2 linked regions of the Oryctolagus cuniculus genome follow. The protein of the gene in region 1 purifies or fractionates together with the protein of each later gene. This does not show direct contact. Links are inferred from orthologs where the notes say so. Each region holds a gene or a part of one and is shown on either strand. Other genes may lie near its edges.

What was found. Proteins that work in one complex are often made in the same cells at the same time.
Region 2: the proteins of IGF2BP1 (region 1) and STAU1 purify together in Homo sapiens (affinity purification with mass spectrometry; 3 studies listed by BioGRID and IntAct, with this or other methods). This does not show direct contact. The link is inferred for Oryctolagus cuniculus from reciprocal best matches to the Homo sapiens genes IGF2BP1 and STAU1.

Annotation. Positions count from the first base shown.
Region 1 is NC_091448.1:25,210,026-25,214,529, reverse strand, and holds part of IGF2BP1 (insulin-like growth factor 2 mRNA-binding protein 1), read right to left. Parts: intron 2,609-4,504; coding exon 2,560-2,608; intron 2,138-2,559; coding exon 2,086-2,137; intron 1-2,085. UniProt on the Homo sapiens protein: RNA-binding factor that recruits target transcripts to cytoplasmic protein-RNA complexes (mRNPs). This transcript 'caging' into mRNPs allows mRNA transport and transient storage.
Region 2 is NC_091442.1:11,270,783-11,275,375, forward strand, and holds the start of STAU1 (double-stranded RNA-binding protein Staufen homolog 1), read left to right. Parts: upstream 1-1,291; 5' UTR 1,292-1,552; intron 1,553-4,593. UniProt on the Homo sapiens protein: Binds double-stranded RNA (regardless of the sequence) and tubulin.

The DNA.
Region 1 (4,504 bases):
CGAAAGATCACTTCAGGGGCTGAGCTTCTGGCACACAGTTAAGATGCTGCTTAGGGGGCCGGCGCTGTGGCATAGCAGCTGAAGCCACCGCCTGCAGTGCCGGCATCCCATATGGGCATTGGTTTGGGACCTGGCTGCCCCACTTCCCATCCAGCTCTCTGCTATGGCCTAGGAAAGCAGTGGAAGATGGCCCAGGTCCTTGGGTCCTTGCACCTGCATAGGAGACCTGGAGGAGGCTCCTGGCTCCTGGCTTTGGATCAGCACAGCTCCAGCCATTGTGACCAACTGGGGAGTGAACCAGCAGATGGAACAACTCCCCCCTCGCCTCTCCTTTCTCTGTGCAACTCTGACTTTCAAATAGATAGATAAATCTAAAAAAAAAAAAAAAAAAAAAAAAAAAAAAAAAAAAATGCTACCTGAGACATGCACGTTGCAAACTGGAATACCCAGCGTTCGAATCCCAACTCCACGTCCAACTCCAGCCTCCTATTAAAGGGCACCCTGGACGGCAGCAGGTGACACAAGCACCTAGACCCTCACCACTAGCCTGGGAAACCCACACTGAGTCCCAGGTCCCTGGCTCCAGCCTGGCCAAGCCCAGCTGCTGCAGGCCATGTGAGATCTCTCTCCCTCTCTGTCACTTTGCCTTTCAAATAAATAAAATAAACAGAATTTCAAGTAACTCAGCCACATAGTTCTCGTTTCAGCAAGCTTTATCCTGTCTTACACAGCAGTGTCTTGTGAAGCTGGGCGCCCTGCTCCAAGCCCCTGGCGATCCCCCTGCTCAGCTCAGCCACCTCCAGGGCAAAGGCTCCCCCCCAGGAGTAACCTGCCAAGGCCTGGGGTGCAGAGTGCCACCCCCAGGAGAGGCGGAGACAGAAAGCACCATAAGTAAGCAAATCCTCTCCGAGACCACAAAGTGCTCGGTGCTACGGAGAGGTGGGCACCTGGATCGAGAGGGCGAGGCAGAGCAGGGCAGACAGAATGACCTCCCACGCAAGGGGACAGTGGCACAGCCTTGAGGACCTTCCCTGTTCTACTGTCCCACAAAACCCAGCCCCTCCCTACTCTCCTCTGCAGGCGGCAGGCACCCCCACCGCACTGCTCCCTGGCTAAGCTCCTGTGCACGGCTCCTGCCCCCTGGCCACAGCGCGATCACACTATTTGTCCCGGAGTAACTCATTAATCCGCACTGTGAGTCCCAGGCACTGGGCTGCAGTGGGTTCGGCTGTGTCTGGCAAACACAAGACACCTGCTTCGCAGACCCCCCCCACTCCTGTGGGCAGGCGAAGACTCGATCATTCACAGTCGCTCGTCACGTGCACCCCACGAAGAGCTGAGCTGGGCATTTCAATCCTGGGCCAAGCGATTACCCACTTATTGCTTTGAAGATCTTCAAATCTAAACTATCTTGCCTAAAGACCACCTTACAGTGAGCCAAACCACTCCCTATTTTATTTAGACTCTCTGTTTCTGAAAAGAACTCGTAATCCTAATAACAGAGAAAACTCAGGAATCCTAGCAAACTTTTTAGAACGTTAAATTTCCTTATTATTTTTCCTTTTGAGAACCCACTCTTTTTAAAGAAGAAATCTTTAGATAAATCTTTAGATTTAGACTGCCAGTCAGACTACATCTTCTGCATTTTCATTAATTGACCAAAGACCTATGGAGCTGCCAACCAGAGTTTTAAAAAAAAAAGGAGCCTGTGGACAATCCACCCCCTAAAACAAGAAACACGGGGGCTTTGAGGGTCAGAGGGTGGCCCGCTTGGGTGGAACACACAATTTCCATTCTTACACTGCGCCTGGGACCCTGGACTGTTTCCACCTCGGTCGGCTGAGAGCCTGGGCACCACCCCAGCACAGGAAATGCCTGGCTCCAGGGAGAGCCCGAGGGGTGGAATGGGGGTCCCTGCGTCACTGCTTCCCACTCTGCATCACTCCAGCTGCTTGTCCGTCTGTCTGTCTTCCCTAGGGACCCCAGGGCGATCTGGAGCTGATCACTGGAAGTGAAGTCCAGATCCCCCAAGCCCCACCCACGCCCACCCACGCCCACCCAGCGAGGCCCGGCGCCCGCTCTCACCTTGCTCGCAGTTCTCTACGGTGCCGTACTGAGCCAGCAGGCTGTCCAGCACCTGCGGGGTGGAGAAGACAGGGACTGAGCGCCCAGAACCCTCGCCAGGCGGCCACCCAGCAGCCCACACACACCCAAAGCACTCAGGAAGTCGCAGAGCGGTAAGAACTGGGCATCGCCTGTCCGTCTGCCCTTCCCAGGTGCTAGGGCTGCTGTCCACACCGGCCAGGGGCCAGCGGGCCTGCAGCTGTGCCTGCGGGGCCTCCTGGAAGCACACCTGGTAGTGTGCACAGAAGCACCCTCTCGCCTCCCTGGCGATGCACACCGAAGGGAGACCAGAAAGAGCGCCAGTGAGGGAGGAGACACCCCCCAACCAAGCCTGGCCCAGGGGACACGTGCCAGCCTGGCCCCCCAAAGTAACTCAGGTCTCCACTACCTCCCCGGCCCCACCCCCACCACTGAGTGCTTCCCCAGGACACTCACTTCCCATCGGAGCTGGGGTGGAATATTCCGGATTTGGATCTTCCGACTCCTGAAATTAAAGAGGGAACAGAGTTAGATCTGGCGGGGTAGCGCCCTACGTTGCCCTGTCCCAGTTCTCGGCTCCCTTTGCTGGAGAAAAGCTCAGCACTGAGGAATGATGACCTTTAGGAAAGGAGACCGGGGCATCTTGCTGGAAAAGACCAAAATCAACGTCACAGCCACGGAGACAAACACGGATGTGTTGTGGAGTAGCAGCCACCCAATTTGAGCGCCGGTTCAAGTCCGACTGTTCCACTTCTGATCCAGCTCCCTGCTAATACACCTGGGAAGGCACCAGAAGATGGCCCCAGTGCCTAGGCCCCTGCCATACACAGGGGAGACCTAGGCGGAGTTCCAGCCTCCTGGATTTGCCCTGACCCAGCCCTGGCTGTTGTGGCCATTTGGGGAGTGAGCCAGCCAATGGAAGATCACGCTCTCGCTCTCTCTCCCTCTCCCTCACCCCCCAGTGTGTGTACCTCTGCCGGTCAAATAAAATAATCTTAAAAAAAAAAAAAAAAAAAAAAACAACCACACACACAATGGCTTGTTTCCCTCACGATTTAGCTTGTCTCACTTCTTCATTCAGTAGGCACCTGTCACCACAACCCTGGGCTAGGCGCTAGCATCGCACACTGAGTAAGGCATTATTAATTAATCTGACAACTATTTAAGTGGCACCTACTTCCTGCCCAACCTTGTTGCACATACTAGGGACACACGACAAACAAAAAAGTGCCTGGCCCGGGGCACTCACAACCAACCCTGGGAGATGACCACATGCACACACTAGAGGGGTGCGAGGGCAGAGGTCAGGCCCTGGGCACAGGGACAGATTCAAACCACAGCCTAGCACTGATCTTAAAAGATGACTCCCTTTTTTCCCTCTGGTAGCCATGGCCGGAGTGGCAGTGGCCAAAATGAAGTTCAAGCCCTCTGACTTCTCATGGGAGCAAGAACTGAAAAAGGCATTTCCATGCCGTTTCCCACGTGGGCCTGAAGGCTCTGTCATCCCCTCTTTCCAAGGGCCAAGGCAGAAGTGCAGCACGCCATCCGTGCCCATCGGATGGACAATGGAACGTGCTCCAGGCGCACAGGAAGAAACACTTCGTCTTTGTTCAACGGGTGTGGTGGGGAAAGGCCAGTGGCACAGCTGTCCACGTGGGCATCCACCCCAGCAAGGCGGTGACCACTAGGGCTAAAGCCGGACAAAAACTAAACAGACCCTCAGACAGAAAGCCAAGTCTCACCAAGTAGGAAAGGAGAAGGGGGGCCGGCGCCGTGGCTCAATAGGCTAATCCTCCAGCTAGCTGCGCCGGCACACCGGGTTCTAGTCCCGGTCGGGGTGCCGGATTCTGTCCCGGTTGCCCCTCTTCCAGGCCAGCTCTCTGCTATGGCCCAGGAGTGCAGTGGAGTATGGCCCAAGTGCTTGGGCCCTGCACCCCATGGGAGACCAGGAGAAGCACCTGGCGGCGGCGGCCATTGGAGGGTGAACCAACGGCAAAAGGAAGACCTTTCTCTCTGTCTCTCTCTCTCACTGTTCACGCTGCCTGTCAAAAAAAAAAAAAAAAAAAAAAAAGGAAAGGAAAGGAGAAGGGCACATATAAGGAAGAAACCACTGAGGAGATGCAAGAATAAATAATCTTATATACGAACGTTCACTAGAAACTGCTGAAATAAAAAAAAAATTTTCAGCTTCTCTGAGGCATTTGAAAGACAGGGATCACGCCTACCCCGGGCAGCAGGTGGTGGTAGACAGTATTTATAAGGAGCTTAGGGGTGAGAACAGAGGCTCAGCCTAACTGTAGCTGCATTTGTGGATAACCGCCGTGGGACAGTCCATGGTGACCACACCTCTGCCCCTCCTGCCACTGAACCGGCGGCTTCTTCTCATCTTCCAGAGGCTTCT
Region 2 (4,593 bases), on another chromosome or scaffold:
CCAGCTGGGTGGTAAAGACGCAGGTGCTGGAGCTATGACCCGCGGTGCGTTAGCTGGGAGGTAGAGCAGGAGCAGAGCTGACTCGAACCCAGGCCCCCTGATGTGGGCTGTGGGAGCCCAAGTGTGGCTGGACTGTTGCTCTCCGATGCTGCCTGGCCACCTCATTTTTGGAGAGAGGTCACAAAGCCAGGTTACTATGTGTTGAAATTGTTCAGCCGTTAAAAACTAACAAAACCAAAGACAGAGAGGAAGAAGAGGAAAACAGCGCGAACAGTCACTCCACAGCGCTCATTTGAGGACCACTGTGTTAACCAAGGCACAGGTTCGTCGTGGGGCTGCTGGGTGTGGGAGGGGAGCCTTAGACGTGTTTTTCTTTTTGTACTTAGGGACTGGCAGTCACATCTTTTTTCCCAAAGGCCTCAAGTCTTCTGGGCTGTTGCCAAGTAATTAAGGAATTATTTTTCTTTGTTTCAGGATGAAGATGGAAATAAGAAACTGAGCACTGGAGATGTTACTCCAAATTCTGCCTGCTCCTTCCCGCAAGATAAGTTATATAGGAATGGGCAGAGCGCATAAAGTCCCCGTGAAAAGTTGGCTCTCATCTAAAATTACACTGCTGTTTCTGTTAGAGTGGGCACTTGCTGTCAGTGTACGGAAACAGAAGAAAGTCGGCCTGGAAGTGATAGGCGGAGCCCTGGGGTCCTAACGCGCACAGCCACATCATCTTTTCGTTTGTTTTTTTAAGCTTTATTTATTTGAAGGAGAGAGTCTGCCATCGCAGGTGCCTGACCGCTCCCCTCGGCGCCGGCCCCTATCTTGCCTTTCAGTGCACCTAGCAAGTTAATGATTTTATTCGCGCCTTTTATCCGCACTGGAACGTAAGCTCCATGAGGGCACGGGCGTTTGTCCGTTCCGTTCTTAGCTCTCGGGGCAGCGCCTCGCACATGGCGGAGGAAGGAGGCCCTGAGGGCGGGAGCGAAGGGAACGACACCTGCGAGACGAGAGGACGGACTGAGAGAAGGAAGAAGGAAGTGCGGGAGGCCAGAAGGCACGCGCTCCGCCTTCCCGCTCGGGGCCCGGCAGAACTACAACTCCCAGCAGGCCGCTGGCCCAGGGCGGGCGGCGGCCACCTCGCCGCGACCAGGCCCCGCCTGCCGGCTCCCGGTGTGCCTTGCGGGCGCCGGCCCCGCCGCAGCGCCCGCCGGGACTTGTGGTTTGGGCCGCGGGTGGGGGTGGGGCCGGGCCTGGAGGCGGGCGGGGGCCGGGGGCGGGCGCCGGCCCCTCCCCCGTCACTTCCTGCCGGGCTGCGGGCGCCGGAGCGGCTCCTCAGCGTTTGCGCCGGCCGCCGTCGCTTCTTCTCTCGGCTTCCCCGCTTCTTGGACCCCCCGGCCCGGCGGCGGCGCCCGCCTCCTCCGCAGCCACTCCGCCTCTTCCCACCCGCCGTCCCTTCCTCCTCTCCCTCTTCCTTCCTCCTTCCCCTCGTCGCCGCCACCACTGCCGCCGCCGCCGCCCAGGACCGCCGGCCGAGGGGCGAGCTGAGGGCAGCAGCCAGGTGAGGCGGCCGGCCGAGCGCGGCGGGGCCCGCGCGGGCGCGGCGGCCACGGGGCGGGGGGCGGCGGGCGGCGGGCGGCGGGTGGGGCCTAGGCCTCGGCGGGCCGCGCGCCGGCCTCCTCCCCCCGGCCCGGGCCTGCGTCCCGCCCGCGGGGCCTGCCCGGGGTGGGGGAGAGGCGGGTCCTCCGGCGCCCCCAGCCCCGCCGCCGCTTTCTCGCCGGGGCCGGGAACAGGTGCCTGGCGCCCTGCGCTGGGCGGGCGCGCGGGGACAGCGAAGTTCCTGCCGGGCTGGTGGTGTCCCCTCTCCAGCCCTCGGGGTCCGGAGCGTCCGCGTCGTGCGGCGGGCACGGCCCAGGTGTCCGGCCCCGGCGCGGCCCCTTCAACTCTTTGTGTGGGCTGGGGAGAGGGGCGCCGAGACCGTCCTGCCGCTTTCTGGCTGCGGAGGTTCGGGGAAATGGGGCGTGTGAAGCGCTTATCGGAGCGCCAGACCCACAGCGTGTCCCCAATAAACCGCCTGCATGATTGATTGGCGTGATAGGAAGGTGTAATTTAGTGGGGCGAGTGGACAGAAGTTGACCTACCTAGCTGCCTCGCTGCCCGTGCGCGAGTGGGGGAGGCAGCGGTGTTCGGCGTGGCCCCCGCCGGCGCCGGGGGCATTGTTTTGGGCTCAGGGCTGGAAGGGGGCGAGCCCGGGCCGGACCCCCTGCGCGCCAGCCGCGGGTCCGCCTTCCCCGTGGTCGTCCCGCCTCTAGGAAAGTTGCTGGCAGCCGCTGCCCCTGCGCCGGGCGACGTGCTTGTCCTCGGGCCGGGGCCGGGGCCGGGGGCGGTGGACGGACGGCGCTGGGCGAGCGTGCCTGTCCTCGGGCCGGGGCCGGGGGCGGTGGACGGACGGCGCTGGGCGAGCGTGCCTGTCCTCGGGCCGGGGTCGGGGCCGGGGGCGGTGGACGGACGGCGCTGGGCGAGCGTGCCTGTCCTCGGGCCGGGGCCGGGGGCGGTGGACGGACGGCGCTGGGCGAGCGTGCCTGTCCTCGGGGCCGGGGCCGCGGGCGGTGGACAGACGGCGCTGGGCGAGCGTGCCTGTCCTCGGGGCCGAGGGCGGTGGACGGACGGCGCTGGGCGAGCGTGCCTGTCCTCGGGGTCGGGGCCGTGCCCCTGCCTTGCCGCGTCGGCGTGGGTGCAGGCTCTCGGCTGTTCGCGCGCAGATGCGCGTCCCAGCCGCCTGCCCCTGTTCTCTGGCCGTGCGGAGGGCTTTGGGGTCGCGCTGCCGTGCTGCGCGTGTTTTTGTTTAGAAGCGGGCGGACGGAGTCGAAGTACGGTTTTGCAGGAAGGGACCTCTGCTTACGTTGCTACTTGTTGAAGCAGAAACTAAAAATACAGCCGGGGTGTGGAGGCAGCGGTTTGGCCGTCTGGGGACGGGCGCACCGAGTTCTGCTAATGCTGGGCTGCGTGGTGCGGCTGTGCCGGTCCTTGGGGAGCTGCGGCCGCCGAGGTGCTCAGCTTCGAGTTAGGACAGAGAAAACGGAGTGTGCGCGCCGCAGACGTCCGCCTAGACCTCGGCTTGTCTTAGTCCGTTTCCTTAGAGAAATGAAAATGTTTTGATTTACATCTCTCAATGCAAAGTGGCTTCCTTGTTAGGTTTTTCTAGAATTTTCTGACACAGTGTCACATTGCTTCTGATTTAAAATTTGACGTTTTAAAAACAGCTAAACAGACAACTCTGCAAACAGTAAAAAGCATGTTTTCTGCTACCTTGTGGTAAGTTGTGCTAGGGAAGTTTTAATATTGCAGTGGGTAACATAAAGCTGTTTTTAAACTTTTCACTGTGGAAAATACATGAAAATTGACTAGACGACTTAGGTATTGTGTTTGTCGCTCAACTTCGGCAGTTTTTTTTAAAAAAATAGCTTCCATCCGCTGGTTCACTCCGCAGGTGCCGCACGCACAGCTGGGCCTGGGCCAGGCTGCCACGTGGGTGTCGGGGACTGCGTGCTCCATCATGTGCTGCCTCCTTGGCCCTCGGCCGAGGGGCAGGCAACCCCGGCTCCAGTGTGAGAGCCCCAGCTCTGACAATGATTAACTTACAGTTAAGAGCAGTCTTGTACCTCCTCCCCCAAACTGTATTGTTTTGAAGCAAATCTTAAACATCGTATCACAGTGTTAGAGATTTTGACTTTTACCAGAATGCTCCTAAAATGTGCTTTTAAAAGAATCAGTTGTCATTTTGTTTGCTTGGCTTCTCATCTCTGAACAGATTACTTGGTTACTGTGCAGTGGGGAAAAGACTAGCAGCTGAGCTAGTTTTGATCAGTGCTGTCCCGCTCTCAAAGTCAAATCCCAAATGTGGCCTTGCTTCTCTGTGTGCAAAAGTAACTCTTGAGCCATGAAAGACTAATTGAAGAGCCATCAGAAAGACAGATTTCCTATCCCTTTGTTGGTGGAGACCTACCTGCTAGGCCCCTTTAAATAGGCAGGAGCTTTGTGTCAAAGTTAAACCACAGTAATGCACCATGAAGCTTCCCAAAGTTTCTTTAGCTGGTTGTGTAAATAAATGCCGTCTCAGTAAGTATTAAGCGAAGGATGTTTGATTTCAGAATCTTTGTAGAATTGTTTTCCAGAGTCCCCATCTGCTCTATTTACAAACAGCACATTGTTAGTAATTATGAGTGGAATCTTAAGTTTTGTGACTAGTGTGAAATCAAAATAAGTGTTCATATTTTTCTTGTTTAAAAGGAGATCTCTCCTAGAAGTATTATAAATATTTGCTATTGTTACGTAATTTTCAAATTTCTGTCCTGAACAGTTTCTAGTTTGACTTGTAACATTGTTATTTCATTCTTGTGGGTTTTCATTGAAGCTTGATCAGGGGTACAGTGGAAACGTTATATATTATATTTTAGTTACTACAGCCTGGGAGATTTGGAAATTAAAATTAATCTGAGGAAAAATCTGTTGAGTATCTAGGGGAGGACACAACATTTATTTTTTAAACAGTGCTTAGTGCTTCCTATCAGGCTTACCAGTAAAACTTTTAAGTGTTTAGAA